Tribolium castaneum: one gene and its partner. The protein of the gene in region 1 purifies or fractionates together with the protein of each later gene. This does not show direct contact. Links are inferred from orthologs where the notes say so. Each region holds a gene or a part of one and is shown on either strand. Other genes may lie near its edges. The genes, in order: Cortactin and Arp2.

Region 1 (17,148 bases):
TATCTATTTATCTCAGAAATCAAACAACTCATATCAGTTTAAAATACTTTATTATAAAACTTTGTGAATGGAAGCATATACATATATGATAGTCATTTGAATAAAACAGTAAAAAAAATAAAATAAGGGCAAGTAACCCATTAAGTACTTTATAGGCCTTTATAGCAACTCAAGTTATCAGTGTTATCACTCATTGGCTTGAACGTAATTTGCAGGAAATAATCCATATTTGCCTTTGCACAAACCTCTCCACCAACCCTCGTCAATCTAAAAACAAAAAATTAATACTCATTTATCACACAATACAACATTTTTTCTACAACAGGACTTTACGAAAAATAAAAAAAAAATTGAACAAATTTGCTACAGAAAAAAAATAAAAAACAAACCTTCTCAATGTGGGTAATAATATCATCCGGATCGAAGGAAATCTCATCATCAGCCGCCGCTTGATAATCATACAGCGCCACTGCGGAAATCCCCGTATCCACAATTTCATCAGTCGTGTAATAAACCTCCTCTTGTTGTTCATTCGTAACTTGACTAGTGACATTTTCGTAAATTTCTTCCTGTTCTTCATTCACCTCATGATTTTCGCTACTAAACTGAGCCAGCTTGCTCTGATCCAACTGTCCCGGAACAACTCTAACTTCCTCCCGTGTTTCCTGCGCCAAAAACGCCTTCTTCGACTCATCCAAACTCTTCGGAACTCGCACTTCGCCACTTGGTGTCTCCGCTTGACTCGTCTGCGTCAAAAACGCCGTTTTCGACGAGTCCAACACTTTAGGCACTCTTTCTGGTGTAGGCGTACTTTGTGCAGTTTCCTCCATTTTGTTATTAAACATGGCGGCTCTGGCATGAACCGTTTTCTTAGGAGTTGAGATTTTCTCAACTTCTTGCTTCTCCTGCGAACTCTGGACAAAAAATAACACGTCAAAAATAATATACAGGGTGGCGCACCTCAACTTCCATCTTCCGTAACTCGGTTATTAGTAAAGTTGGGCTTATGAAATTTTCTAGACGTTATCTATACGCGCCGAAGTATTTCGGGAAAATATTTTTGATTATACAGAGTGTCCCAAAAAAATTTTTTTCAAAGGCAAACTTTTTTGGAACACTCTGTATAATCAAAAATATTTTCCCGAAATACTTCGGCGCGTATAGATAACGTCTAGAAAATTTCATAAGCCCAACTTTACTAATAACTGAGCTGCGGAAGATGGAAGTTTAGGTTGGGGCACCCTGTATGGTTGAAAAAACTACCATATTTTCAAATTTGGCCCTCAAGTCCTTCGGCTTCGCGTCGCCAATGTCCGGCTTGACTTTGGTGTAATTCGTGCCGACTTTCGCCGGTTCGTCGTTGAAATTGGCAGCGGATTTGTCCACGCGATCGGTTTGGAGTCCGAATTTTCCGCCGAAGCCGATTTTGTGGTCGGTTTGGCTTTCGTGCTTCTGGGGGGCTTCGTGGTGGTCCCAGCCCACGGCCGACTTGTCTTGGCGGTCCGACTGGACGCCGAATTTCCCGCCAAAGCCTTTGACGTAATCTGGAGTGACTAAAGTGTGAATATTGTTGCGAAAATTACGATAAGAAACCTTTCTGCGATTCGTGTTTTTCGATTTTTTCGATGTGATCCCAGCCAACGGCCGACTTGTCTTGGCGGTCCGTTTGGACGCCGAATTTGCCGCCGAAACCGGTGACGTAGTCTTTCTGGGAGGCGTGTTTCTCGATTTTTTCCTTGTGCTCCCAACTAACGGCACTCTAAAATAAAAAAAATCTAATTTTCTAAGTAAAATATTGTAACTGCTAGGTGATAAAATAAAATTTGCTACTATTTTACATGTTATATTAATTTTTTACAAGAAAAAAAAATTTAAAAATTCATAACTCAAAAACTAAAAGCCGTAGAACAAAACAATTTGTTCCAGTGAATTCTGCTGCTCAAATTGCTTAGAATAACAGCCTTATCACAACACCAGCTTACTCGAGAAATTTAAAAAAATATATTTTAAATTTCAAATTGGTGGATGCGCCGGGTTATTCTTTTAAAAAATTCATAACTCAAAAACTGAAAGTCGTAGAGAAATGCGGTTTGTTCCATTGAATTCAGCGGCTCATTTTCTGTATTTTACCAACTTTCAACAAGATCTAAAGTTTTAAAATTTTTTGCTAAAAATTAAGATAGGTATTTCTTATAGTAGAAAATTTTATTCAACAAAAAAATTCATAACTCGAAAACTAAAAGTCGTAGAACAAAACGGTTTGTTCCAGTGAATTCTGCTGCTCAAATTGCTTAGAATACCAGCCTTTTCACAACACTAGCTTACTCGAGAAATTTTTAAAAAATATTTTAATTTTAAAATTGGTGGATGCGCCGGGTTATTCATTAAAAAATTCATAATTCGAAAATTAAAAGTCGTAGAGCAATGCGGTTTGTTCCATTGAATTCAGCCGATCATTTTCTGTATTATACCAACATTTAACGAGATCAAAAGTTTTTAAATTTTTTGTTAAAAATTAAGACAGGTATTACCTATAGCGGAAAATTTTATTCAACAAAAAAAATCATAACTCGAAAACTAAAAGTCGTAGAAGAAAACGGTTTGTTCCAGTGAATTCTGCTGCTCAAATTGCTTAGAATACCAGCCTTTTCACAACACTAGCTCACTCGAGAAATTTTTTAAAAAATATTTTAATTTTAAAATTGTGGATGCGCCGGGTTATTCATTAAAAAATTCGTAACTTAAAAACTAGAAGTCGAAGAGCAATGCGGTTTGTTCCATTGAATTCAGCGGCTCATTTTCTGTATCATACCAACATTTAACGAGATCAAAAGTTTTTAAATTTTTTGTTAAAAATTAAGACAGGTATTACCTATAGCGGAAAATTTTATTCAACAAAAAAAATCATAACTCAAAAACTAAGAGTCGTAGAAGAAAACGGTTTGTTCCAGTGAATTCTGCTGCTCAAATTGCTTAGAATACCAGCCTTTTCACAACACTAGCTTACTCGAGAAATTTTTAAAAAATATTTTAATTTTAAAATTGGTGGATGCGCCGGGTTATTCATTAAAAATTCATAACTCGAAAATTAAAAGTAGTAGAGCAATGCGGTTTGTTCCATTGAATTCAGCGTCTCATTTTCTGTATTATACCAACATTTAACGAGATTAAAAGTTTTTAAATTTTTTGTTAAAAATTAAGACAGGTATTACCTATAGCGGAAAATTTTATTCAACAAAAAAAATCATAACTCGAAAACTAAGAGTCGTAGAAGAAAACGGTTTGTTCCAGTGAATTCTGCTGCTCAAATTGCTTAGAATACCAGCCTTTTCACAACACTAGCTTACTCGAGAAATTTTTTAAAAATATTTTAATTTTAAAATTGGTGGATGCGCCGGGTTATTCATTAAAAATTCGTAACTTAAAAACTAGAAGTCGAAGAGCAATGCGGTTTGTTCCATTGAATTCAGCGGCTCATTTTCTGTATAATACCAACATTTAACGATATCAAAAGTTTTTAAATTTTTTGTTACAAATTAAGACAGGTATTTTTTATGGTGGAAAATTTTATTCAACAAAAAAATTCATAACTCGAAAACTAAAAGCCGTAGAACAAAACGGTTTGTTCCAGTGAATTCTGCTGCTCAAATTGCTTAGAATACCAGCCTTTTCACAACACTAGCTTACTCGAGAAATTTTTTAAAAATATTTTAATTTTAAAATTGGTGGATGCGCCGGGTTATTCATTAAAAATTCGTAACTTAAAAACTAGAAGTCGAAGAGCAATGCGGTTTGTTCCATTGAATTCAGCGGCTCATTTCCTGTATAATACCAACATTTAACGATATCAAAAGTTTTTAAATTTTTTGTTACAAATTAAGACAGGTATTTCTTATGGTGGAAAATTTTATTCAACAAAAAAATTCATAACTCGAAAACTAAGAGTCGTAGAACAATGCGGTTTGTTCCAGTGAATTCTGCTGCTCAAATTGCTTAGAATACCAGCCTTTTCATAACACTAGCTTACTCGAGAAATTTTTTAAAAAACATTTTAATTTTAAAATTGGTGGATGCGCCGGGTTATTCATTAAAAAATTCGTAACTTAAAAACTAGAAGTCGAAGAGCAATGCGGTTTGTTCCATTGAATTCAGCGGCTCATTTTCCGTATTATACTAACATTTAACAAGATCAAAAGTTTTTAAATTTTTTGTTAAAAATTAAGACAGGTATTTCTTATGGTGGAAAATTTTATTCAACAAAAAAATTCATAACTCGAAAACTAAAAGTCGTAAAGCAATGCGGTTTGTTCCATTAAATTCAGCAGCTCATTTTCTATATTAAACTAACTTTCAACGAGATCTGACACTTTGAATTTTTTTGCAAAAAATTAAAAAAGATAGGCAATTTCTATATTGGAAAATTTTATTCAATAAAAAAATTCATAACTCGAAAACTAAAAGTCCTAGAGCAATGCGGTTTGTTCCATTGAATTCAGCGGCTCATTTTCTGTAATATACCAACTTTCAACGAGATTTAAATGCTCAAATTTCCTGAAATACTTACCTTAAAAAAGTAAAAAAAAAATTTTTTTAAACTCACTCCAATAAATTTTTATGGACTTCTACGTGTCTTAACAACCCACAAAAGTTGTTAAAAGTCCACAAAAAGTCCAAATGTTTGATTTTTTGACGTTTGATTTTTTCAATTTTCGTCGCAGTTTTTGTCGATTTTGGGTACCCGGAACATTTCTCGAGCAATAGCTCCGGAACTATTAGAGATAATAGTATTATCGTTGGAAAGCTCTTTAAATTATCTATTGTTTTCAAAAAAAAATATTGTTCTCCGACTAATAGTTTTCGAGCAAATTGGAGACAAATGCAAAATTTGGTAAAATTTAAAAAAATTTATAACTAAAAAACTATTGAGAATTTGGCAATTTTCTTGATGCCAATCGTTTCCCCGGATCATTTTACATAGGTATGGATAAAAGTAGTTCCACTTTTTTGAATAGTTTAGCCGTAATTATAAATTACATAAAATAAATTTTAGTCTACCGTAGTATTTTTTTGAATTAAATTTTTTATTAAAATACGTAAATACAAGAAATTTAATGATACGTCTTGCTATCTTTCCCGGCAATCCAATCCTCCACCTCCTTCACACTCCTCGGCACTTTGGTCAAACTAACAGCCCCATTTTTCGTAATCAGAACATTATCCTCAATCCTAACCCCTCCAAATCCCCGAAACCGCTTAATAACATCCGCCACCAGAAACCTAGACAGTGCCGCACTCTCCAACGCCTCATCCAGCAAAACATCGATAAAATAACACCCCGGTTCCACCGTGATCACCATCCTCTCCTTCAGCTCCCTCGTCGTCCTCAACATCGCCGCCCCCTTCAAATCCGACCGCTTCGCCCCAATGAACCCCCCGACGTCGTGCACATCCAGCCCCAGCAGGTGCCCCAGCCCGTGCGGCTGGAACACGCCCCCCAGCCCCGCCGCCACCATCGCCTCCACGTCCCCCTTCAGCAGCCCCCCCTTCTTCAGCTCCCCCAGCAGGACGCGGTGCGCCAGCGTGTGCATCTCCAGCCAGGAAACCCCCGGCTTCAGCGACTTGAAAACGGTCGTATTGGTCAGAAGCACCGCCTCGTAGATGAGTTTCTGGCTCGGGGAGAACTTGCCATTGGCCGGGAACGTGCACGTGATGTCCGCGCAGTAGCCGAAGTAGTTGGCCCCCATGTCGAAGAGGCACAAGTCCCCGGGCTCGATCATCTTGTTGTTGGGGGCGGCGGCGTGCCCGTAGTGCAGGATGGCCCCGTTGGCCCCCGAGGCGCAGATGCACGTGTAGGAGGTGTGCCGGCAGCCCCCCGTGGCGTAGCAATAGTGCAGGAACTCCGCCTCGCATTGGTACTCCGTCTTGCCGGGCTTGGCGAAGCGCATCACCTTCCGGTGCGCCTCCGAGGAGATGTCGCTCACGTAGCGCATGACATCGAGCTCGAAGTCGGTCTTGTACACGCGCAAGTTGGCGATTTCGTTGTACAAGACCGTGTTGTTCACCCGGAACTTGTCGATTCCCTCGAAGTGCGCCTCCCGGGACAGCAGGTTGCTGTCGCTGTTAACCCCCTTGAGGGTGAGCAAGACACTGGGGTTTAGATTCCGGAGGATGGAGGCGATGTTGTCCTTATGATGCACGTTGGGGATTTGGTACTTCCTGCTGATGTCCTCCAGAGAGGGCAGAGGCCCGCGCCAGATGAGATAGGACGTGGGGAAGCGGGGAACGAACAGGAAGGTTTTCTTGGTGGCGATGTCGATGGCGCCGAAACAGCCGGGTTCGGTGACTCCGAACGTCCACAAGAAGTTGGATTCCTGCCGGAAGACGGAGTAGGTGATGTCCGTGTCGTAGAAGGGGATTTCGTCGCCGCCCTGCAGGAGGATCACGGGCTTGCCGGGATCTTTGGCGTGGATTTGCTCGATTAGGCGTTTGCGGTTTTCGGCGTAGAGTTCGACGGGTATTTCGTAGGTGCCGGGACCGTTCCATAATCGGCCGGGTTTTGAGGCGTCCCAGACTTTTGTGTCTATTTTTTTGAGGCTGTATTGTTCCGAGTCATCTCGGTATGGCTTGTGTGGGCCCGAAATTTTTGAAAATTGATTTTTAGAGGTTTGAGGTTAGTTTTGACGGTGACAGGGGAGTGTCTAAGTGACAGGCGGGGCGACTAGATTTTTGAAATTTTTTTAAAATATTTTCGTTCAAAAATTATGTAAGGATTCAACTCAGAGTTTGAAGTTATACGTTCATCTCTTTTTCTCCCAAAACAAAAAGTACGTTTACAATAAGACGCCTTTACGCCTTTCTGAATGTATGGAATCGATTGAGAAGAACAGATATTTTTCAGAACTTGGTTGGCAGTATGAGAAGAAGAATGCAGGAATGCATAGATAATAATGGCTATTATACCAAATATTAAACTTTGTATAAATAAATATTTATTCTTGATTTGTTTAGATTTTTTTTCTATACAAATTTAGCTCTGGAATTTTTTTAAATTGTTTTTTGACAGAACCAAATAAAATTTTTGTTATTAATATTCATTAAATGACACGTCAAAAGGAATAATCCTTTTTTATGCACTATTTTCAATATGCCTTTAGTGGCAATCAAATTTAAATTCGAGATTAATTTTGTTTCACAAAGCGATTTAAATGACAATTATTAAGTGGAACAAAAATAATTAGTGGTGACTTTAAGGGCCGGTTTACTGAACGTTTAAAAGACCTGATATGAGCAGGTTTAATTCAAGGTTAACTTGACGTTTATCAATACAAAAAATGGCAACTTAATTCGAATGAGCTTTATCCTGAATTAAATTTTAATTCATTGTTAAGTTAATTCGCGACTAAAAAATGAATCAGATGGCTTCAATTTGATAACGTGATCAGTTAATCAGATGTTTGATTGTAATTAATTAATTTATAATTTATTTGCACTATTCTCAAATATGCCTTTAGAGGCAATCAAATTTAAAATTCAAAATTAATTTTGTTTCACAATGCGAATTAAATGGCAATTGAAATTGGAATTAAAAATAGCGGTGACTTCAATTACTAAAATCATTATAAAGTCAAATCAAATTTTAAGCAGTTGAAAAGTAAAATTATTTCGTGTTTGGAAGTTCACGACGAAATGATTTATTGCCACAGATGGTTGCGGTCTAAGTACCTACCGATCCCTCAGCCGGGGTTTATTGGCATGACATTTTCAAATCACCGTGCTGTACGTCATGCCTTTTGCCGCATTATTTTCTTATTTCTGTCAGTTTTTTGCTCCGCTTTACGTTTATACGTCCATGTGTTCTCTCAATCTCTTATTTTTGCTCACGTTTTGTTTCCTTACCTTTTCTACACTTTTTTTTCATAGAAAAATTGTTGCCGTGATCCGGGTTCGAACCCGCGACCTCCACCGTCGTAAGTGGCGCTTATACCACTGGGCCACCGGGCCCCAGGTACTGACCGTGTTTTGTAGATATTTTAACACAAACTTTTTAAATAAATCAACATTACAAACTATATAATTGCAATAATTCACGTAAAACGCAAATACATTCAGTTCAAAAGTCGGCGAATTAGCTTTGAGAAAACATTTTCTTCCACTTTTTTTCAATTTAATTTTCAAATTTTTCACCAGATTTTATCTGGATACCGGGTGTTTTTACCTTTTTTTGTGACTTTCCGTATTTTTCAAAACGCTGCGAATACGGTTAAAGATACAAGAAAAATGTTTAGAACAAATTTGTAGAGAATTAAATTTCCTGAAAAAAAGTCAGCGAGACCATATCTTTATCTTCAACGGTTTAGGCCCTAAAAACGTTCAAAGATGCTTAAGCGACTGATTTTGCTGGTGGTCAAGTATGGAAAAGTGAATTTATACCCAAACCGGTGAAGATAGAAATATGGTGTCACGGACTTTTTTGTAGCAAATTTAATTCTCTACAACTTTGTTCCTTACACTTTTGTTGTATCTTCAACCGTATTCGCAGCGTTTTAATAAATAGGCGACGGTGCCCAAAAAATTATCGCTTAGAATTATTGCGTTTTTTTTGGCAAACGCAGCGAATACGGTTGAAGATACAAAAAAGTGAAAGAGGCGAGGTTGTAGAGAATTAAATTCTCTACAAAAAAGTCCGCGACACGATATGTCTATCTTCAACGGTTTAGGTATAAATTAATTTTCCAATACTTGACCACCGGCAAAATGGAGGAAATCCGACACTTGAGCGTCTTTGAATGACTTTGGGGCCTAAATGGTTGAAGATAAGGATATGGTCTCGCGGACTTTTTTAAAGGAAATTTAATTCTCTACAACTTTCCTCTGAACATTTTTCTTGTATCTGTAACCGTATTCGCAGCGTTTTGAAAAATATGGGGCAGAGTGCAAATTGGTAAAACTTTGAAATTTTTTTAAATATAGTTTAAGATATAATTTTTGCACTATTTTCATCTCCGATTATTGAGAATTTGATGCTCTATCTGCCTGTATTTTTTTTATTCAACTTGTGCTAACCGTTATTTAATTACAACAATTTTTATAAATTGATTGCTCTGAAAACAGACGGTAATGGAACAAGTGCGCCTCTGGCGACATTAACGGAACTATAGAGGACGGGACTTTTTATTTGTACGTCGTTTCATCCTTAGTTTTAGATATCCGTAGGCTGGCCTTAAATTTCGCAATCATTACTACAAGCTGTTTCAAAACGTTGCATTTTCTTTATATTTATTTATTTATTTATTTGTAAAAAATCTAGTTGTTTAAATGCTCGTTCTCGATAACAATGCTTGACCTTATAGCATTTTTCTTAAAATTTTAAATAACTAATAATAATAATAACGCGACAAAATAAATACGAAACAATTGTAAACAAATAATTCAATAATTGAATTAATTGAATAATTAAACTGTGATCATGATCATAATTCAGCGTAAGATTGTTTTCGTAATTTGAGATAAGAGCACGATTGTCCTTATCAGCGTGTGAAAAGCAAAAAAATATTGCTACTTGTACATTTGTGACTAAACTTGACAAATAAAAACCAATCAGACTAACCTTATCTACCCTATCGGCCTGTATCCCGAACTTGCCCCCAAAGCCCGCACTGTAGTCCTTCTGTGAGGCATGTTTCTCGACTTTCGCGACATACTCATGCCCCACGGCCGACTGATCCATCCTGTCTTTCTCAATCCCGAACTTGCCCCCGTACCCAAAAGCGGGATTACTGGCCCCTTCCTCCAACTGTTTCTTCTTCTTCAGCGCGTCCGCCTCCTCCGTCTCCTTCCTCAACTGACTCATACTAAGGCAAACACATGAGACAAGCGAACCAAAACCAAAAACCCCATTACTCTATAGCCCCAGCTGTCCTCCCAGACCCCGCAATGGTGGCAGAGCCCCATCGCTGCTCCTGCTCATTCACGTCATTGACGAAATCCGGGTCTGTCTCCCACTCGTCATCCTCGGTGGGCTGGTCGTTTAAATTAATTTGCTGACCTGCCGCCGCTTTCCACATTTTTTAGGTTAAGTTTTCAAAAAAAACACCAATTAGGCAACACAAACGGAACGAAAAAACTAAGTAATTAGAATTGTGGCAATTTTGTGATAACTGTTATCAACAAAGGCAACACCCGGCCCCCAGTGACACAGACAACTTCGGGACGTTTAACCGAAATTTACGACACTTTCAAACTACCAAACTAATTTTATCAATTAATCAATAATTATATAGGCACTGGAACCACTTCATTTCCCTAAAAAATGTATCATTCGGTTGTTTGTAACAGTACACAACAATTTGCTTTTTTTCAATGATAATAATTCAAACGGTTGGTTAAAAAATCGGGTCAATTGACCTACTCCACTTGTCAAAACGTAAGTAACCTCCAAAAACGTGCGTTTGATTTAAATGTTCCACAAAACCGTCCCCTCTAAACGCCTGCGATTCCCACAACTGGTGCTACTTTCGCGTAATTAGGGCCACAATCCCTTCGTTAAATCCACTTTAATCGACTTTCGTGGCTCCAAAAGCATGACAACTGTCCCTAACCTCAAACCACCAGCTCAAGTAGCTGGGTTAACAACTTTGGACAAGAATTTGTTCAAGAAAAACATAACCGTCCCGTGTCTCATCCTTAAGAACGTGAAAATCTCATCAGTCTTGCCATTCGTGAAAAATTACTTGTTAAAAATTGAGAATTTTAAGCCGGTTTGTAACGTAACCACGGGGGAATCCCACGTTTACTTCAACCCGGAAATAATAGGGGCTTTTAGTGACTTGCCGCCAGAAACGCAAAAATTGCTAAACGACCTGTGCGTGCAACTCGAATTAAAGCCGTTGACTTTAAACTACGAGAATTTTTCGATTGAGGGCGTTTTTCGCGCCGTGCTTCCCCCGAATGTCGAGGGGATGTCGAGTTTTACTAAAGTGGGGCACATTGTGCACGTTAACCTGCGCGAACACCTCGTTCCGTTTAAAGACATAATTGGGCAAGTGTTGTTTGATAAAGTGCCCAATTGTCGGACTGTGGTCAATAAAGTGGGGAGTATTGATAACACGTATCGGAATTTCCAGATGGAGGTTTTAAGGGGCGAAAACGACACGCAAACGCACGTTAGGGAAAATAAATGTGTGTTTGAGTTTGATTTTGCGAAAGTGTACTGGAATTCTAGACTCTGCACTGAACACGAAAGAATTGTCAATATGATAGAGAGTGGTGATGTTGTGTTTGATGTTTTCGCGGGGGTTGGGCCGTTTTCCGTGCCTTTGGCTAGGAAAAAGTGCCAGGTTTTTGCCAATGATCTCAATCCCGAGTCCTTTAAATGGCTAAATCACAACTTTAAAATAAACAAAGTTGGGGAAAATTACTTTAAGAGTTATAATAAGGACGGGCGGGAGTTTATCTTGGGCGAGGTTAAGGAGTTGTTGCCGAAATTTTCGGCCAAAAATGTTTTTATTCTGATGAATCTTCCGGCACTGGCCGTTGATTTTTTAACAACTTTTGTTGATTTATTCTCAAATGATGAGTTACCAGAATTTGGGAAACACCCAGTTGTCGTAGTTTATTGCTTTGCCAAAGGCGAGGATTTCATAAACATTGCCAAAAAATCACTTTGTGAAAAAATCGGTCGGAATGTTGAAGAAAAAATTACCGATGTGTTTCGTGTGCGCACCGTCAGCTCGCTCAAAGAAATGATGAGGATCACGTTCAAGTTAGACCGCGAAATTTTGGTCAAAAATTACGTACGGAAACGAAAAAATTCCTGCGTTGGCGTTGAATCCAAAAAACGTAATACAAACAATTGAATGATTTTTTATTAATTGTTTTTTCTAGTCTGTGATGGGGAAAAACAAGAAGAAGCTCAATAGTGTGTTCAAGGTCGCCGGGGCCAAAAGCTTGAAGCTCAAGGCCAAGGCGAAAGCTGTCAAAAGTGAGCTCAAACAGGTGGGTGAAAAATTATTTTTGTGAGGAAATAGAAAGAGGGTTGTTTCCAGATTAATAATAAAAATAAGGCCAAGATAACGGAAATTGATAAGGAACTCGTCAACTTGCAGGAAAAAGTCCGAAATTCGACCGGTGACCAGAAGAAAGAAACTAAAAATAAAACCAAATTACCGTCACGTCAGAATGTGACGAAGGAGGTTGGTGAAAAGTCGCAAGACACTTTGAAGCAATTGAATGCCATGCAGTTGTAGATCATAAAATAAATCGTTTATTACGTTAGTGTGTTTTATTTTTTATTTTTTAATTGCGGCAAAACTATTTGGAAATCTCGAACTATTTTGGCTTAAACCTATGTGAAAATGAGCCGCTGAATTCAATGGAACAAACCGCATTGCTCTACGACTTTTAGTTTTCGAATTATGAATTTTTTTGTTGAATAAAATTTCCCACTATAAGAAATACTTATCTTAATTTTTTGCAAAAAATTATAAAACTTTAGATCTCGTTAAATGTTGCTATAATACAGAAAATGAGCCGCTGAATTCAATGGAACAAACCGCATTTCTCTACGACTTTTAGTTTTTGAGTTATGAATTTTTTCATGAATAACCCGGCGCATCCACCAATTTTAAAATTAACATATTTTTTAAAAAATTTCTCGAGTAAGCTAGTGTTGTGAAAAGGTTGGTATTCTAAGCAATTTGAGCAGCAGAATTCACTGGAACAAACCGTTTTGTTCTACGACTCTTAGTTTTCTAGTTATGAATTTTTTTGTTGAATAAAATTTTCCACCATAAGAAACACCTGTCTTAATTTTTAACAAAAAATTTTAAAACCTTAGATCTCGTTAAATGTTGGTATAATACAGAAAATGAGCTGCTGAATTCAATAGAATAACCCGCATTGCTCTACGATTTTTAGTTTTCGAGTTATGAATTTTTTTGTTGAATAAAATTTTCCACTATAAGAAATACCTATCTTAATTTTTAGCAAAAAATTTTAAAACCTTAGATCTCGTTAAATGTTGGTATAATACAGAAAATGAGCTGCTGAATTCAATAGAATAACCCGCATTGCTCTACGATTTTTAGTTTTCGAGTTATGAATTTTTTTGTTGAATAAAATTTTCCACCATAAGAAATACCTGTCTTAATTTTTAACAAAAAATTTAAAAACCTTTGATCTTGTTAAATGTTGGTATAATACACAAAATGAGCCGGTGAATTCAATGGAACAAACCGCATTGCTCTTCGACTTCTAGTTTTTAAGTTACGAATTTTTAATGAATAACCCGGCGCATCCACCAATTTTAAAATTAAAATATTTTTTAAAAAATTTCTCGAGTAAGCTAGTGTTGTGAAAAGGCTGGTATTCTAAGCAATTTGAGCAGCAGAATTCACTGGAACAAACCGTTTTGTTCTACGACTCTTAGTTTTCGAGTTATGAATTTTTTTGTTGAATAAAATTTTCCACTATAAGAAATACTTATCTTAATTTTTAGCAAAAAATTGTAAAACTCTAGATCTCGTTAAATGTTGGTATAATACAGAAAATGAGCTGCTGAATTCAGTGGAACAAACCGCATTTCTCTACGACTTTTAGTTTATGAGTTATGAATTTTTTAATGAATAACCCGGCGCATCCAAAAATTTTAAAAATAAAATATTTTTTAAAAAATTTCTCGAGTAAGCTAGTGTTGTGAAAAGGCTGGTATTCTAAGCAATTTGAGCAGCAGAATTCACTGGAACAAACCGTTTTCTTTTACGGCTTTTAGTTTTCGAGTTATGATTTTTTTTGTTGAATAAAATTTTCCGCTATAGGTAATACCTGTCTTAATTTTTAACAAAAAATTTTAAAACTTTAGATCTCGTTAAATGTTGGTATAATACAGAAAATGAGCCGCTGAATTCAATGGAACAAACCGCATTGCTCTACGACTTTTAGTTTTCGAGTTATGAATTTTTTAATGAATAACCCGGCGCATCCACCAATTTTAAAATTAAAATATTTTTTAAAAAATTTTTAGAGTAAGCTAGTGTTGTGAAAAGGCTAGTATTCTAAGCAATTTGACCAGCAGAATTCACTGCAACAAACGGTTTTGCTCTACGACTTTTAGTTTTTGAGTTATGAATTTTTTAATGAATAACCCGGCGCATCCAAAAATTTTAAAAATAAAATATTTTTTAAAAAATTTCTCGAGTAAGCTAGTGTTGTGAAAAGGCTGGTATTCTAAGCAATTTGAGCAGCAGAATTCACTGGAACAAACCGTTTTCTTCTACGGCTTTTAGTTTTCGAGTTATGATTTTTTTTGTTGAATAAAATTTTCCGCTATAGGTAATACCTGTCTTAATTTTTAACAAAAAATTTTAAAACTTTAGATCTCGTTAAATGTTGGTATAATACAGAAAATGAGCCGCTGAATTCAACAGAACAAACCGCATTGCTCTACGACTTTTAGTTTTCGAGTTATGAATTTTTTAATGAATAACCCGGCGCATCCACCAATTTTAAAATTAAAATATTTTTTAAAAAATTTCTCGAGTAAGCTAGTGTTGTGAAAAGGCTGGTATTCTAAGCAATTTGAGCAGCAGAATTCACTGGAACAAACCGTTTTCTTCTACGGCTTTTAGTTTTCGAGTTATGATTTTTTTTGTTGAATAAAATTTTCCGCTATAGGTAATACCTGTCTTAATTTTTAACAAAAAATTTTAAAACTTTAGATCTCGTTAAATGTTGGTATAATACAGAAAATGAGCCGCTGAATTCAACAGAACAAACCGCATTGCTCTACGACTTTTAGTTTTCGAGTTATGAATTTTTTAATGAATAACCCGGCGCATCCACCAATTTTAAAATTAAAATATTTTTTAAAAAATTTCTCGAGTAAGCTAGTGTTGTGAAAAGGCTGGTATTCTAAGCAATTTGAGCAGCAGAATTCACTGGAACAAACCGTTTTGCTCTACGACTTTTAGTTTTCGAGTTATGAATTTTTTAACAGTGAAGTGTAAGTGCAAACAACAGTTTTGAACAGGAAATAAAAAAAAATCGTTTTTATAAAAATATTTATTAATGACAACGTACAGCGTCACTTTTTACAAATTCGAGTCCACAAGAATTACACTCTAATTTTACAACTTGTAACAGACAATTCCTGCAATAATAATGCTGGCAGGGAATTTTGTATAAAAACTGGCAACACCGACAACTACAACACTCTTTCTCCCCCCCGTACTTGGCCCTCTTATTATCGGCCCTCAAATTTTGCCCCCCTAGCGCCCTTTTTAGCCCAAAAAACGCCGGATTTGTCGAATTCTGCATCAAAAACATATCAATTCTGCTTTTGAGCGCAACATTGATCACCGGTTTGCGCGTTTCGGTGAATTTAAGTCCTGTGAAGGGATCGCAAGGTTTACGACCGAACGATTTTTCACTCTCTATGTGTTTGTCAAGCGTGTCTCTATCCACAGTTTTGCCACTTGGTAGAGTCATGGGAATTGCCATAATTTCGCAAGTTAAGTCATCAACAAAATCCTGGGGGATTTTTAACCCCTCTTGTCCTCCCCCCGTTTGGGGCGCTTCCGGGGAACCCCCCATAATCCTCCCAATTGTCTCGACAGTCACTTTGGAGCAACTCCCCGAAGGGGCGCCGAACACCTTAATCGCCCCCAAGCAGGGCACGCTGCGATCGGTGCGAAAAATCACAACTTTGAGGCAGGTGGTGTCGCCCCAAAGGCGCCTCTGATCACTTTTAAAATAACGCAGTTCTTTATCGGGAGTGTGACAAGGGGGCGGTTTAGATTTATTATAAGTTTTGCTATCACAGACGGTTAAACCCGACTTGTCAAAGACCGCTCTGGCGATTGAAGTAAAGGGAGTAGTGGAGTTTTTTGCAAAAAGTTCGATTCCTGTACACTTTTGGCGCCCAACACTTGTCTCAAGTGCAATGAACGAGACACTAATGGGGCACAAAAACTCGAATTCTAGGGCTACAGGGGGGCGCGTTACAGTGTAAGCTAGGAAACCGCGGGCTCGGACAGCCCCGTTTTCGCTGATTAGGTTGGAGGCTTCGTAATTGTCGGTGGCGGGGGCGCTGCTGGACACTTTGGGGCTCAGTTTGGGGTCCAGGAAGTTGTACATACTAAACTAAGCGCGAAAATATCACCGTGGACTTTAAATTTGTGTAAATTAAATTAACTTGGTTGTGAAAGTTGGGTTAAGTTGCTTTTGGGATAACTCCCATTAGCTCAAATTTTTTTTTTTTGATTAAAAAATAATTTAAGGATCAGTAGGGGCAGTTAAATAAAATCAGTTTATTTATTTATTTTAAAACAACACATGTTTAAAGTAATTAATTAATTGCAGGTAAAGTTATTTATTTGATCAAATCTCATAATCCAAAAAAAAATTGTAATTTAGACCGTTGGGGGCACCACTGAGCCCAAATTTGAAAATTCCAAAAAATTCAATAAAAAAGTAAAAGTAATAATAAGTAAGTAATAAGTAATAACACGTGGTAGTAATAAGTAATAAAACAAGTAAGTTTGGGAGGGAGCCCGGGGTTGTCCCCGTGAAATAAAGGCGGGACATTCGAATAATACTCATATATTTCGTTCTAAATGTTTAATAATAACTACAGTAAAGTGTAATAAAGTCTCGAAAGCGTCGCATTTTATCGTCGGCCACTGAAAATAGTTGCTCCTGGTTCTAGTTCGTTGTTGTTGTCACAAGATGCCAACTGTCGGACTTGGTTCTGAAAATCCCCGAAAAAATTTTTTTCTTATTAATAATAGAAGAACAAAAGTTTGCCCACTATTATTGTTTCTCATTGATAAAAACTTACCATAAGCAGGTGACACACAGCAGACGCCGTCTTCAAAGTGTTATGCAAATCCGTATTTTCGGTCCTTTTGCCCGGATTCCAGTCACGAGAGAAAGTGACTTGGGCTTGAGTCCCAGTGAACATCCATGCCATGAGAACTAGCACCGCCACAAGTGCAAAAATTCTAAACAAATCAAATAAATTTAAAAGTTGGTACAAGTCGGGGATTTACCTGAATTTGAGCGCCATTTCGTCCCGACGTTCGAAGATTGTGTGATGTTCAGAGGCGGACTAGCAACTTTATATAGCCAGGTTTGGGCCACTGGGGATTACTG
Region 2 (15,275 bases), on another chromosome or scaffold:
TATTTTATTGCAGTGTCGTATTTATTTATTTCACAAACCAATAATTTCATAAAACTTAATTGCAATTAAAATCTTTAAATGCGGTATTGAAAAGTGATATTTTGAGTGACAAATTTTAAATACAGTAACTATAAGTAAAATAAATCACTACAATAATTTATTGCCACGTAATTTTGCCTTTAATTTCAATGAATGAAAGTGGCTTGCTCAAAATTTAATGCAAATAAACATTTTTTTTGGTTTCATTTTTATTATTATTTTTTTTAATGCTACAAACGGTAGCCAACGTGGAAGCGATATGAAGGTAGGTGTATTTTATTGCTGTGTCGTATTTATTTATTTCACAAACCAATAATTTCATAAAACTTAATTGCAATTAAAATCTTTAAATGCGGTATTGAAAAGTGATATTTTGAGTGACACATTTTAAATACAGTAACTATAAATAAAATAAACCACTCAAATAATTTATTGCCACGAAATTTTGCCTTTAATTTCAATGAATGAAAGTGGCTTGCTCAAAATTTAATGCAAATAAACATTTTTTTTGGTTTCATTTTTATTATTTTTTTTAATGCTACAAACGGTAGCCAACGTGGAAGCGATATGAAGGTAGGTGTATTTTATTGCTGTGTCGTATTTATTTATTTCACAAACCAATAATTTCATAAAACTTAATTGCAATTAAAATCTTTAAATGCGGTATTGAAAAGTGATATTTTGAGTGACACATTTTAAATACAGTAACTATAAATAAAATAAACCACTCAAATAATTTATTGCCACGAAATTTTGCCTTTAATTTCAATGAATGAAAGTGGCTTGCTCAAAATTTAATGCAAATAAACATTTTTTTTGGTTTCATTTTTATTATTATTTTTTTTAATGCTACAAACGGTAGCCAACGTGGAAGCGATATGAAGGTAGGTGTATTTTTTTGCTGTGTCGTATTTATTTATTTCACAAACCAATAATTTCATAAAACTTAATTGCAATTAAAATCTTTAAATGCGGTATTGAAAAGTGATATTTTGAGTGACACATTTTAAATACAGTAACTACAAATAAAATAAAACACTAAAATAATTTATTGCCACGAAATTTTGCCTTTAATTTCAATGAATGAAAGTGGCTTGCTCAAAATTTAATGCAAATAAACATTTTTTTTGGTTTCATTTTTATTATTATTTTTTTTTTGGTTTCATTTTTATTATTTTTTTTAATGCTACAAACGGTAGCCAACGTGGAAGCGATATGAAGGTAGGTGTATTTTATTGCTGTGTCGTATTTATTTATTTCACAAACCAATAATTTCATAAAACTTAATTGCAATTAAAATCTTTAAATGCGGTATTGAAAAGTGATATTTTGAGTGACACATTTTAAATACAGTAACTATAAATAAAATAAACCACTCAAATAATTTATTGCCACGAAATTTTGCCTTTAATTTCAATGAATGAAAGTGGCTTGCTCAAAATTTAATGCAAATAAACATTTTTTTTGGTTTCATTTTTATTATTATTTTTTTTTGGTTTCATTTTTATTATTTTTTTTAATGCTACAAACGGTAGCCAACGTGGAAGCGATATGAAGGTAGGTGTATTTTTTTGCTGTGTCGTATTTATTTATTTCACAAACCAATAATTTCATAAAACTTAATTGCAATTAAAATCTTTAAATGCGGTATTGAAAAGTGATATTTTGAGTGACACATTTTAAATACAGTAACTATAAATAAAATAAAACACTAAAATAATTTATTGCCACGTAATTTTGCCTTTAATTTCAATGAATGAAAGTAGCTTGCTCAAAATTTAATGCAAATAAACATTTTTTTTGGTTTCATTTTTATTATTATTTTTTTTAATGCTACAAACGGTAGCCAACGTGGAAGCGATATGAAGGTAGGTGTATTTTATTGCTGTGTCGTATTTATTTATTTCACAAACCAATAATTTCATAAAACTTAATTGCAATTAAAATCTTTAAATGCGGTATTGAAAAGTGATATTTTGAGTGACACATTTTAAATACAGTAACTATAAATAAAATAAACCACTCAAATAATTTATTGCCACGAAATTTTGCCTTTAATTTCAATGAATGAAAGTGGCTTGCTCAAAATTTAATGCAAATAAACATTTTTTTTGGTTTCATTTTTATTATTATTTTTTTTTGGTTTCATTTTTATTATTTTTTTTAATGCTACAAACGGTAGCCAACGTGGAAGCGATATGAAGGTAGGTGTATTTTTTTGCTGTGTCGTATTTATTTATTTCACAAACCAATAATTTCATAAAACTTAATTGCAATTAAAATCTTTAAATGCGGTATTGAAAAGTGATATTTTGAGTGACACATTTTAAATACAGTAACTATAAATAAAATAAAACACTAAAATAATTTATTGCCACGTAATTTTGCCTTTAATTTCAATGAATGAAAGTAGCTTGCTCAAAATTTAATGCAAATAAACATTTTTTTTGGTTTCATTTTTATTATTATTTTTTTTAATGCTACAAACGGTAGCCAACGTGGAAGCGATATGAAGGTAGGTGTATTTTATTGCTGTGTCGTATTTATTTATTTCAAAAAACCAATAACTTCATAAAACTTAATTGCAATTAAAATCTTTAAATGCGGTATTGAAAAGTGATATTTTGAGTGACACATTTTAAATACAGTAACTACAAATAAAATAAAACACTCAAATAATTTATTACCACGTAATTTTGCCTTTAATTTCAATGAATGAAAGTGGCTTGCTCAAAATTTAATGCAAATAAACATTTTTTTTGGTTTCATTTTTATTATTATTTTTTTTTGGTTTCATTTTTATTATTATTTTTTTTAATGCTACAAACGGTAGCCAACATGGAAGCGATATGAAGGTAGGTGTATTTTATTGCTGTGTCGTATTTATTTATTTCACAAACCAATAATTTCATAAAACTTAATTGCAATTAAAATCTTTAAATGCGGTATTGAAAAGTGATATTTTGAGTGACACATTTTAAATACAGTAACTATAAATAAAATAAAACACTAAAATAATTTATTGCCACGTAATTTTGCCTTTAATTTCAATGAATGAAAGTGGCTTGCTCAAAATTTAATGCAAATAAACATTTCTTTGGTTTCATTTTTATTATTATTTTTTTTTGGTTTCATTTTTATTATTTTTTTTAATGCTACAAACGGTAGCCAACGTGGAAGCGATATGAAGGTAGGTGTATTTTTTTGCTGTGTCGTATTTATTTATTTCACAAACCAATAATTTCATAAAACTTAATTGCAATTAAAATCTTTAAATGCGGTATTGAAAAGTGATATTTTGAGTGACACATTTTAAATACAGTAACTATAAATAAAATAAACCACTCAAATAATTTATTGCCACGAAATTTTGCCTTTAATTTCAATGAATGAAAGTGGCTTGCTCAAAATTTAATGCAAATAAACATTTTTTTTGGTTTCATTTTTATTATTATTTTTTTTTGGTTTCATTTTTATTATTATTTTTTTTATGCTACAAACGGTAGCCAACGTGGAAGCGATATGAAGGTAGGTGTATTTTATTGCTGTGTCGTATTTATTTATTTCACAAACCAATAATTTCATAAAACTTAATTGCAATTAAAATCTTTAAATGCGGTATTGAAAAGTGATATTTTGAGTGACACATTTTAAATACAGTAACTATAAATAAAATAAACCACTCAAATAATTTATTGCCACGAAATTTTGCCTTTAATTTCAATGAATGAAAGGGGCTTCTCAAAATTTAATGCAAATAAACATTTTTTTTGGTTTCATTGTTATTATTATTTTTTTTAATGCTACAAACGGTAGCCAACGTGGAAGCGATATGAAGGTAGGTGTATTTTATTGCCGTGTCGTATTTATTTATTTCACAAACCAATAATTTCATAAAACTTAATTGCAATTAAAATCTTTAAATGCGGTATTGAAAAGTGATATTTTGAGTGACACATTTTAAATACAGTAACTATAAATAAAATAAACCACTCAAATAATTTATTGCCACGAAATTTTGCCTTTAACTAAAATGAATGAAAGTGGCTTGCTCAAAATTTAATGCAAATAAACATTTTTTTTGGTTTCATTTTTATTATTATTTTTTTTTTGGTTTCGTTGTTATTATTTTTTTTAATGCTACAAACGGTAGCCAACTTGGAAGCGATATGAAGGTAAGTGCATTTATTTACTGAGGTATTGAATTTGATTTGAATTTTAATTGCCACAAATTGAAACGTATTGTGTATTTTTTATTTTGTTTAATATTGACAAACGTTGCTTGTTGTAACTTTCATGCAAATAAAGATTTTTATTGGTGTTGTTTTAATTTTTTAAATGTCTTGCTACAAACAGTAGCCAACGCAGAAGCCATATGAAGGTAGGTGCATTTTTTTGCGTTTTATCTTGTGATGTGTTGATTTAATAGCTTGTGTGCCATATATTATACCGTATTGTGTATTCTTTATTCTGTATAATATTTATTAAAGTCGCTTGTTGTAACTTTCCTACAAATTAATTTTTTTGTTTGTTGTGTTTTTAATTTATTTTTTAGGTTTTGCTACAAATGGTAGCAGATGCAGTATAAAGGTAAGAGCATTTATTTAACGCCAAGTGAAAAAGCTTTGATTTTTGTTTACTATTTTTTCATTTCACAAACCAATAATTCCTTTATTCCCTTCATTTGAAATAATCATTGTTTACCTCATCCTTATATCCATTTTTCCTGGCAAGAATGCTCTAAACCTCCACGTGGTTCTTGCCGGACAAATTAGTTATTGACTAATTTGACCAATTAGAGCAATCCTTAAATATAACATTGTTGACTGTTTTTTACAGCCGTAAAATTATGTCGCTTGTTGTAATTTTCATGCAAATAAAGATTTTTTATTGGTGTTGTTTTTAATTTTTTTTAATGCTACAAACGGTAGCCAACGTGGAAGCGATATGAAGGTAGGTGTATTTTATTGCAGTGTCGTATTTATTTATTTCACAAACCAATAATTTCATAAAACTTAATTGCAATTAAAATCTTTAAATGCGGTATTGAAAAGTGATATTTTGAGTGACAAATTTTAAATACAGTAACTATAAGTAAAATAAATCACTAAAATAATTTATTGCCACGTAATTTTGCCTTTAATTTCAATGAATGAAAGTGGCTTGCTCAAAATTTAATGCAAATAAACATTTTTTTTTTATTTCATTTTTATTATTATTATTTTTTTTAATGCTACGTGGAAACGGTAGCCAACGTGGAAGCGATATGAAGGTAGGTGTATTTTATTGCTGTGTCGTATTTATTTATTTCACAAACCAATAATTTCATAAAACTTAATTGCAATTAAAATCTTTAAATGCGGTATTGAAAAGTGATATTTTGAGTGACACATTTTAAATACAGTAACTACAAATAAAATAAAACACTCAAATAATTTATTACCACGTAATTTTGCCTTTAATTTCAATGAATGAAAGTGGCTTGCTCAAAATTTAATGCAAATAAACATTTTTTTTGGTTTCATTTTTATTATTATTTTTTTTTTGGTTTCATTTTTATTATTATTTTTTTTAATGCTACAAACGGTAGCCAACGTGGAAGCGATATGAAGGTAGGTGTATTTTATTGCTGTGTCGTATTTATTTATTTCAAAAAACCAATAATTTCATAAAACTTAATTGCAATTAAAATCTTTAAATGCGGTATTGAAAAGTGATATTTTGAGTGACACATTTTAAATACAGTAACTACAAATAAAATAAAACACTCAAATAATTTATTACCACGTAATTTTGCCTTTAATTTCAATGAATGAAAGTGGCTTGCTCAAAATTTAATGCAAATAAACATTTTTTTTGGTTTCATTTTTATTATTATTTTTTTTTTGGTTTCATTTTTATTATTTTTTTTAATGCTACAAACGGTAGCCAACGTGGAAGCGATATGAAGGTAGGTGTATTTTTTTGCTGTGTCGTATTTATTTATTTCACAAACCAATAATTTCATAAAACTTAATTGCAATTAAAATCTTTAAATGCGGTATTGAAAAGTGATATTTTGAGTGACACATTTTAAATACAGTAACTATAGATAAAATAAAAACTCAAATAATTTATTGCCACGTAGTTTTGCCTTTAATTTCAATGAATGAAAGTGGCTTGCTCAAAATTTAATGCAAATAAACATTTTTTTTTGGTTTCATTTTTATTATTATTTTTTTTTAATGCTACAAACGGTAGCCAACGTGGAAGCGATATGAAGGTAGGTGTATTTTATTGCTGTGTCGTATTTATTTATTTCAAAAAAACAATAATTTCATAAAACTTAATTGCAATTAAAATCTTTAAATGCGGTATTGAAAAGTGATATTTTGAGTGACACATTTTAAATACAGTAACTATAAATAAAATAAAACACTAAAATAATTTATTGCCACGTAATTTTGCCTTTAATTTCAATGAATGAAAGTGGCTTGCTCAAAATTTAATGCAAATAAACATTTTTTTTTTTATTTCATTTATATTATTATTTTTTTTTAATGCTACAAACGGTAGCCAACGTGGAAGCGATATGAAGGTAAGTGCATTTATTTACTGAGGTATTGAATTTGATTTGAATTTTAATTGCCACAAATTGAAACGTATTGTGTATTTTTTATTTTGTTTAATATTGACAAACGTTGCTTGTTGTAACTTTCATGCAAATAAAGATTTTTATTGGTGTTGTTTTAATTTTTTAAATGTCTTGCTACAAACAGTAGCCAACGCAGAAGCCATATGAAGGTAGGTGCATTTTTTTGCGTTTTATCTTGTCATGTGTTGATTTAATAGCTTGTGTGCCATATATTATACCGTATTGTGTATTCTTTATTCTGTATAATATTTATTAAAGTCGCTTGTTGTAACTTTCCTACAAATTAATTTTTTTGTTGGTTGTGTTTTTAATTTATTTTTTAGGTTTTGCTACAAATGGTAGCAGATGCAGTATAAAGGTAAGAGCATTTATTTAACGCCAAGTGAAAAAGCTTTGATTTTTGTGTACTATTTTTTCATTTCACAAACCAATAATTCCTTTATTCCCTTCATTTGAAATAATCATTGTTTACCACATCCTTATATCCATTTTTCTTGGCAAGAATGCTCTAAACTTCCACGTGGTTTTTGCCGGACAAATTAGTTATTGACTAATTTGACCAATTAGAACAATCCTTAAATATAACATTGTTGATTGTTTTTTACAGCCGTAAAATTATGTCGCTTGTTGTAATTTTCATGCAAATAAAGATTTTTTATTGGTGTTGTTTTTAATTTTTTTTAATGCTACAAACGGTAGCCAACGTGGAAGCGATATGAAGATGGGTGTATTTTATATCTCTGTGTCGTATTTATTTATTTCACAAACCAATAATTTCATAAAACTTAATTGCAATTAAAATCTTTAAATGCGGTGTTGAAAAGTGATATTTTGAGTGACACATTTTAAATACAGTAACTATAAATAAAATAAAACACTTAAATAATTTATTGACACGCAATTTTACCTTTAATTTCAATGAATGAAAGTGGCTTGCTCAAAATTTAATGCAAATAAACATTTTTTTTGGTTTCATTTTTATTATTATTTTTTTTAATGCTACAAACGGTAGCCAACGTGGAAGCGATATGAAGGTAGGTGTATTTTATTGCTGTGTCGTATTTATTTATTTCACAAACTAATAATTTCATAAAACTCAAATTTGTGAAATTTGTGACGTTTGTGAAATTTGTGACGTTTGTGAAATTTTTACTTGTCAGCCGCGCATCGGCACCACGTTTTTCTTCAATAATCTGAAATTTTAAATCCGCCAATAGGATTTCTTTTTCCCGTAAAACACTAAGGCCATCTATCCGCATCATCAGTAAAACCTAATTCAGTGAGGGCTCGATTTGGCTATATCAGTTCGGGATGCCTGGTCACAATCATAAAAAACGTCACCCCTATAAACACAGCCTACTAGCAAAGTGCAGCAGTAAATTTTTTGGGTCAAAAACTTCTATTCGGAGGTTTTATTTGTTCGGAGGCATGATTTTCTAACATCAATTTCTAACATAAACGACAAAAAAAGCGTATTGTTCTATTACTATTCAAATTTCATGTTACTATCAACGTAACTTATTACGTTGCCGGTGAGGAACGATAAGATTTGGTTTCCCAGTGGAAACAAAACAACTGTTTAAAAATGATTTATTCAACTTGCCTTTAAATATACACTGAATGAATTAAATATGAAAATAAAAACACGTATATTATTTAAAATTGCTTACGCCGACCTCGGCCCCAGTTTTTTCAAAACCTTCAAGCCTTGCTCCTCATACTCTTGCTTCGACATCCAAAACGCATCCCGATCCTTCATAACTTCGGCTAAAACTGCTCCACCGATAAAAACCATGTCTTTACGTCTCGGCGGATCCTCAATTCGTATTTTAAACTTATTTAATTTCTCTATGTCATTTTTAAGTACGCGTTCTAGATACAATTGCTTTATTTCACGTTCAAGTCGTGAAGGGAGCCCTGGATACATAGTGGAACCACCTGAGAGTACTATATGTTTGTACAATTCGGGCCTCATGTCAATATCAGCCGCCTAAACAACAAAGCAATATTAAACCAAGCTGTAGAAAAAACAAACCATGCAACCTGTATTGTATTAAAAACAAGCTCAGCGATGCCTTGTCCCTCAACGTTGATTAAATGCGGTTGAAATAATGCTTCAGGGGCCTCAAACCGTTCCCCGCCAACTTTGATCACACGGCCATCTGGCAAAATATAAGGCTCAACCAAAACAGTAGTTTCCAGAGCCAACCGCTGTTCTGTTTCTATATCGTAACCAATGTAACATAATTTTTCCTTCATAATTCGCACGGTTTCAAAATCAGCCGAATGATTAAATGCGTAACCTCTCAGTAGTAATAATTTAATAAGATAGCGGGTGATATCACGGCCTGCTATATCCAGACGTCGGGTTAAATGCGGCAAAGCAAACTCTTCATAAACGGGGCAAATGTGTGTCACTCCGTCACCAGAATCGACAACAACACCCGACAGAAGTCCCTAGAATCAAACATTCATATTTTATTAAAAATAATTTTAATTATGAAGTATTTTTAAATGATTTAAATAACGTCCCTTGGAATTCAGTACTCTATAGGGTTGTTCCATCTAAATCCCACATTAGAAATAACCATTTTCTCCCAAACTAGTGGATAAACCGTTCGCTACCCGAAAGTTATAATTGGCTCTTAACTAATATTTATTATTAAATTTAATTTAATAAATTAATTAATAATTTATTATTAACAATGATAATAGTAATAATAATGAAAAACATTTCGGATGTTAGCAGTTTTTGGGCTCTTCTCAAAAAAATTTTCATGTTTCTAAGCAAAAAATTGATGGAATTGAGATGGAATAAGACTTTTTTTGTTTGTTCTATGAGAATTCTCTTGCTTATAAGCAAAGAATCATCTGTAAGTCGATGTTTCTGGTCAGAATAAGACGTTTACAGCCACTTTTTAAAAAGTTATCTCGTTTTTAAGTGTCTATAATAACAATAGTAATAATAATAACAACAATAAGAACACATTTCGGGTAATATAAGCCGTTTTTTTTAACTTCTCACGAAATTGTTTTGTCTAGAATGATTTGAACTAGAAAAAGTTCAATAATAATAACCAATAATTCTTTTCTGGTAATTATTATTATTTTTGGACCACCAACTGTGTAAACGAACCTGAGCGTATAAAGTGAGTACGGCTTGGACAGCAATATAAGCCCCCGCAAAACCGTACTTTTCGAACATGACTTCGATCATTTTTTCCCGATTTTTCGTGGGGTTCATTGGGGGTTCAGTCAGGAGAATCTAAAATACAAATTTAAAAATTTATAGTCAATTTTTATGATTTTTTGATGTTACTTTAGCATCAGTTGGGTCCAAATTCATTTTTCGGGGGCCAAAAGTGTAGTCCCACACGTGGCACATATCCTCCCAGTTGCGCACAACCCCATTTTCCATCGGGTAATTCACCTCGAGAAGCGATCGCAAAGCGGAAGCTTCATCTCCAACCATCAAGTCCTAAAATTGAAGTTATAATAAAAATTGTAAAAAAAAAACACATTTACACATCAAAGGGCTTCAAATTTACTTACAGGAAGAGTACTTGCAACTCCCTGAAGCGTGCAAAAGGTAGCATTAAGTCAAAAATTCGAGTTTAATCGAAATAATGATCAACAAGCTAGTTTGAAAATCTGGTGATTTTGAGTTTTCACGACTGGCACAGAATGCAAATATTTATACAAAGTAATAAAAATAAAGATACGTAATCAACGCTTTTAAACCAGCTTTGCACCCTGTTGTTTACATTTAAGCCGTAAATCTTATAAACAGCAATACAGTGGTGTCCCATTATAACGAACTCGAAAAATGTGTCTTTTTAACAGTTATTTGTACTTTACATATGAAATAAGCCAAAATAAATAAATATTTACTGCAAAAAAAAACATAAATGCTTTGCGAAACAGTAAAAAAATTATATACATTGTAGTCCGGTTATAATAACGAAAATGCAACAAAATCAGTTCGTTATACCCGAAGTTCGCTATAAGCAGTAAAATAAAAAAATGTTTTTATCAGTTTTTTATTTTGCATATGAAATAAGACGAAATAAGTAAGTATAAATTGTAAAAAAAACATTAACTCTTTCTCACAACACCGCCCCATGGACGATGATATTTCATTCAAAATTTTCATTTTTTTGTGATTTTAAAAAAGAATTTAAGGAAATCTGGATTTCGTTTGTTAAAACAAAGTTTGCCAACACGGCAATGTAACATAGCTTATTCGAATAATATGGAATTTAAGAATTTTGCATCTTTTTTCATGATTTTTATTTTTTTATCTCACAAATAGTAAACTCCTCAAATAATTGGTTACTTTAAAATGTGGACCTTTGGTCCAAACATGTGTAATTTAAATTTTGTTCAAATTGATTAATAAATAAAAAAGTTACAAGAAGGTGCTCTTTTTGCTGGGACACCCCGTATGTGTACTGCGTAAATTTTATATTGGTGCAGTTATTGTAAAGGATGATAGTAAAGCTCAAAAGAAGTGAAAATAAATCAACTTGCATTATCCGAATATTCATAATTTGTGAGATATAGTTTTGGTCGGCGAATAAATTTAAAACCAACAAATACCTAAATCAATTTAGCCTCTAAACCTACTTCTTCAACATCTATTACACTAAATTAAAATTAGCAAAAACAGCCACAGAAAAACAAGTCATTCCATAAAAAAATATAAAAATGTTAAAATATAAAAATTTTGCACCGATTTTTTTGGCGCAGATACTACTAAATTTAATTTCCTCAAATGTCACCCCCTATTAGTCATGTAAACTTAGAAAAAAAGTGCTCAAAAGACGTAAACTTTGTTGATATTGCGTTTTTTTGACGAATTTTTAGACGCTGAAGAGGAGGTTGCACCCTTTTATCCCAAAAACTAGTAAAAGTAGTATAAGTTGGGATAAAGCAAGTTAATTTATTTGACTTCCTTTGAGCTCTACTATCATAAAATATTTGCACAACTATCAAATTCAGACTGTAATTATGTTTAAAAACACACGTTTTTGTTAGTTAAAATGTTTTTTAGTTAGTAATTCAATAATTTGTTCATGAGTCAACACTTCTCTTATTGCTTTGTCATTAAATATTCCTCAAAATTCATTATAAATTCACATTTTAAGTCAAAATTAAATAGTTGGGAAGTTCGCTATAACTCGATGCCACTGTATTTCAGCCGCCTGGTAATTTTTTTAATAAACGTTTCCAAAGCCAGCTTGACAAAAAAGCCCGTCAATCATTTCACGAATTTAGTAACAACGTAATAAATAAACTCAAAAACACAGAAAAATCAAGAAAACAACAAAGAGAAACACTGTTAGTGACCTCTTGTGAGGTGCAACCACTCAAACGAGGGTTAGTCAAAACACACACCTCTTTGAGGCACTTACATCTACATGGTAATCCTAGGATAACAAAGTTTGATCATTTCACCTGATGAAATAAACGAAAAATGTTAACTGTGATTTGAATCATCCTTACCTTAACCTCAATATCTCCGATTTTATTTACAGCCCGTATGATGGGCCTGCCGACCATTGAAGGGAAAATATGGGCCGGGAAATTGCTCCCTGCGTATCCACACTTGACAAACTGTAACCAGCAGTCAGTTTTAACAAAAAAATTGTGGAAAAAGAGCAAAACTTACCCCAGTTCCATTGTCACAAACAATGACTTTTTTGCCTTGACTATCCATGGTGATGCGATTAAATGAACTTAATTGTTAATTGGTAGGAGAAGAGGAGTCTTTAAGCCCTATTTTGGGATAATTACACTAGAACAGTCACTCCAGGAAATCTGTCCACGCCCATAGATATAAATCGAACACATATCACAAATTGTCACAAGTGAAAAAAAGATGAATGATTTGCTGTTTGTTTAAATTGTGTCTGTTTATTTAATTTTGATTAATGCAATTAAAAAATTTGACAAACCACCCGTTTTTGTACCGGTGCTTGTGACATGCACCCCCATACAATAAGAGCAAGAGAGATAGTCAGAATTGACAATTTAATCTATCCTTGTTAGTTGTTAGTGGTGGTCGCTTTTGTGGCGCCATCAACGGTGCCATTTGGCATAATGGCGGAAGATTTAAATCCTTTGATCGAACCCACATCTAAAAGTTGGATTTAAATTAATTTAAAACAGTTTGGTGCCAAGACATTATAACACTCAAAGTGCTCTCGTTTTTACTCCACTGTACTATTTTCTGGGTTCAGAAAATCCTGCTGTTTTGTGTCTTGTTTTGTTTCCTAATGACAGTCCTCCGTAGCCGAGACTAAATAAAATTTTACATAACTCAAAAATTAGAAAGAATTTCAAAAAATTCCATTCCTCAAAAATTATCACATTTGTAACACAGTCACAATAAAAAAATGACGCCCCTACCTTACAGCGAAAGCGAAAAGTGCCGACACAAAACAAAAAATGCAAAAAATTAGACAATGCATATGCACAGAGCACAAATATGTTACAGATGTAATAAATTACAAAATGCACTGAATTTTAACTTAATGACCTGGAACGCACTCCAATGCTAAAAAATAGAGTTATGCAATAATAATATGTACAATTTTGCCACTTGTCTCCATACGCATAAAAACAATCACGTAATGAATAAAATAATAATATACAATGCAATTAAAATAACTGATAATTTGGAACGCGGTCAGTTTGAGGAAAAAATGAACGATAACTCGGCAATATTTATTATCAGTATTATTACGTTAACGTTTGCATAGATGTAACTTAGCGTAATAGTTGTGTTAGATTTTGTTAAATTTGTTAATAAACAGCTGAGTATTGGATTTAAAAAAAGCATTTTGTTCTTGTGCACACTCGGTAGCTCGCACTTTACAATGGTGTAGTCGGTCACGTGACACTTTGGCACATGTTGGTGTCAAATTTGCAAACAAGTCGGTTCATGTTTATTTTGAATAATTTGTGCTATTTTGTTAGTTTTTGCATTTAAACAATTAATCCTGTGCCAGTTACAAGAATAGTTACCGCAATGGAGTTGGATGAGGTAAGAGTGTGCATTTTTTTGTAGGTTTTTTGGTACGTTATCTCCTATCAATTTCTATTTACCTTCCCATTTATGTTGCTTTTTGGTGGCTGTGATTCATTACGAGTGGACAAATAATAATTGTTTGAAAGAATATCTACCTATCTTCCTTGTCAGTGTCAGTATTTTTGAAACGAAAAGTTGTCAACCGGAAATTCAGTACAATTCAGTACAATTTAAACTGATCCTACACACCTTTGCTTACATTTCCTCGATCTCTAACTGATATCAAACAAGTTTTACGCATTTGTCATACATTTATTTATTATACATTTTTCTGTACAGATTTTACAAAGCGAACAGTGTTTCTACAAATCAAAAAAAGCTTCTGCTTTGATTTGTCTCTGTTTTGGAAATGCCATAAGTAAAGCGCTATAAATGATATTTTTTATTTTATTTTGGGTACAAATAAGGTACTGGATTTTGCTATAAGCAGTAGCACTGTCATCTTATGTGTTTGACACTGATAACGGCTTTTTCACTTTGATAAAGTGCCAAGAATTTTCAAGGTCAATAAAGTGCTGTAAATTACTAATCATTTTCCTTATTATTGTTGTTGACTTATTGTTCATGGAGCTGTCAGCTGACGTATGCACTGCCAAAGTGACAAATTGTATTGGCAACTGGTTACTTTCGAAAGCAGGAAAAATTTTAAATGATTGTTCAAAGGTTCAAAGAGTAATACATCTCTCAGTAATTAGTAATAAGCCTGAAGCGGTACATTTGTATGTATTTGTATGTATTTGTATTTGTGCAACAGTACAGTTCCAAAAAGAAAAAAGCTCAAAAAACGTAAAAATTATGTAATTATTGATTTGATTTGAGAAACATTCTGAAATTGTAGTTTAAAAACTCTATTAACTCTTAAAAAAGTACGTCATTTCCGACCAAATTCTGTTTTTTCTTTAAATTCTTGTGACGATTTTGATCACAAACCAGTTAAATTGGGTGAAATAGGCAAAATATTTTCTTAATTTAATGAGGGTGTATTCTTTTGGGAAAGTGATAAAATGCCTTCACTAGTAGTACCTAGCTAAGGTCAGTACTTTTCCTTAACCACGTACGAAATTTACATGTTTCCAAAAATATTATCAGTTTCGAATAATTTTTCTAATTTTTAGGTGTATTTTTCAAAATCTTGCAAAATGGATGTTTTAAATAACCTCGTTTTCAGCTTAGTTTCCTAGAAATAATTTAGTGTCTGGCTGAGAAAGTTAAATGACAAAATATTCACAATACAAGGTGTGTTAATAGTATATTAAGCAACAAGTTTTATAAACGAGATTTTAATCACGAGTTTGTTTAAACACGAGCGAAGCGAGTGTTTATAACGAGTGTTTAGACGAGTTTAGAAAACGCGTTGCTTATGCTATTTTTTCTACTCCCGTAAGGTGAGACAAAATATACATTAAATATTTTTTTACAAAGTAACAACATTTAGAAATTTATTATTAGGTACTTTATACAGTTTATAATTTACATTATTTATTATGAAGAGTAACTGTTAAACTACTT

The links.
Region 2: the proteins of Cortactin (region 1) and Arp2 purify together in Homo sapiens (affinity purification with mass spectrometry; 3 studies listed by BioGRID and IntAct, with this or other methods). This does not show direct contact. The link is inferred for Tribolium castaneum from reciprocal best matches to the Homo sapiens genes CTTN and ACTR2.

Annotation. Positions count from the first base shown.
Region 1 is NC_087400.1:1,541,934-1,559,081, forward strand, and holds Cortactin (src substrate cortactin), read right to left. Parts: upstream 10,236-17,148; 5' UTR 10,065-10,235; coding exon 9,901-10,064; intron 9,852-9,900; coding exon 9,608-9,851; intron 6,672-9,607; coding exon of another isoform or gene 5,109-6,671; exon of another isoform or gene 5,061-5,108; intron 1,760-5,060; coding exon 1,594-1,759; intron 1,545-1,593; coding exon 1,264-1,544; intron 915-1,263; coding exon 390-914; intron 268-389; coding exon 187-267; 3' UTR 34-186; downstream 1-33. Other genes in the region: tRNA (guanine(37)-N1)-methyltransferase, read left to right, coding at 10,581-11,838, 11,884-11,918; Ubox5 (U-box domain containing 5), read right to left, coding at 15,061-16,131.
Region 2 is NC_087394.1:25,846,378-25,861,652, reverse strand, and holds Arp2 (actin-related protein 2), read right to left. Parts: upstream 12,713-15,275; 5' UTR 12,393-12,712; coding exon 12,345-12,392; intron 12,290-12,344; coding exon 12,179-12,289; intron 12,103-12,178; coding exon of another isoform or gene 12,088-12,102; intron 10,247-12,087; coding exon 10,226-10,246; intron 10,152-10,225; coding exon 9,993-10,151; intron 9,939-9,992; coding exon 9,810-9,938; intron 9,131-9,809; coding exon 8,717-9,130; intron 8,664-8,716; coding exon 8,340-8,663; 3' UTR 8,250-8,339; downstream 1-8,249. Other genes in the region: uncharacterized protein LOC100142249, read left to right, coding at 13,707-13,721. UniProt on the Homo sapiens protein: ATP-binding component of the Arp2/3 complex, a multiprotein complex that mediates actin polymerization upon stimulation by nucleation-promoting factor (NPF).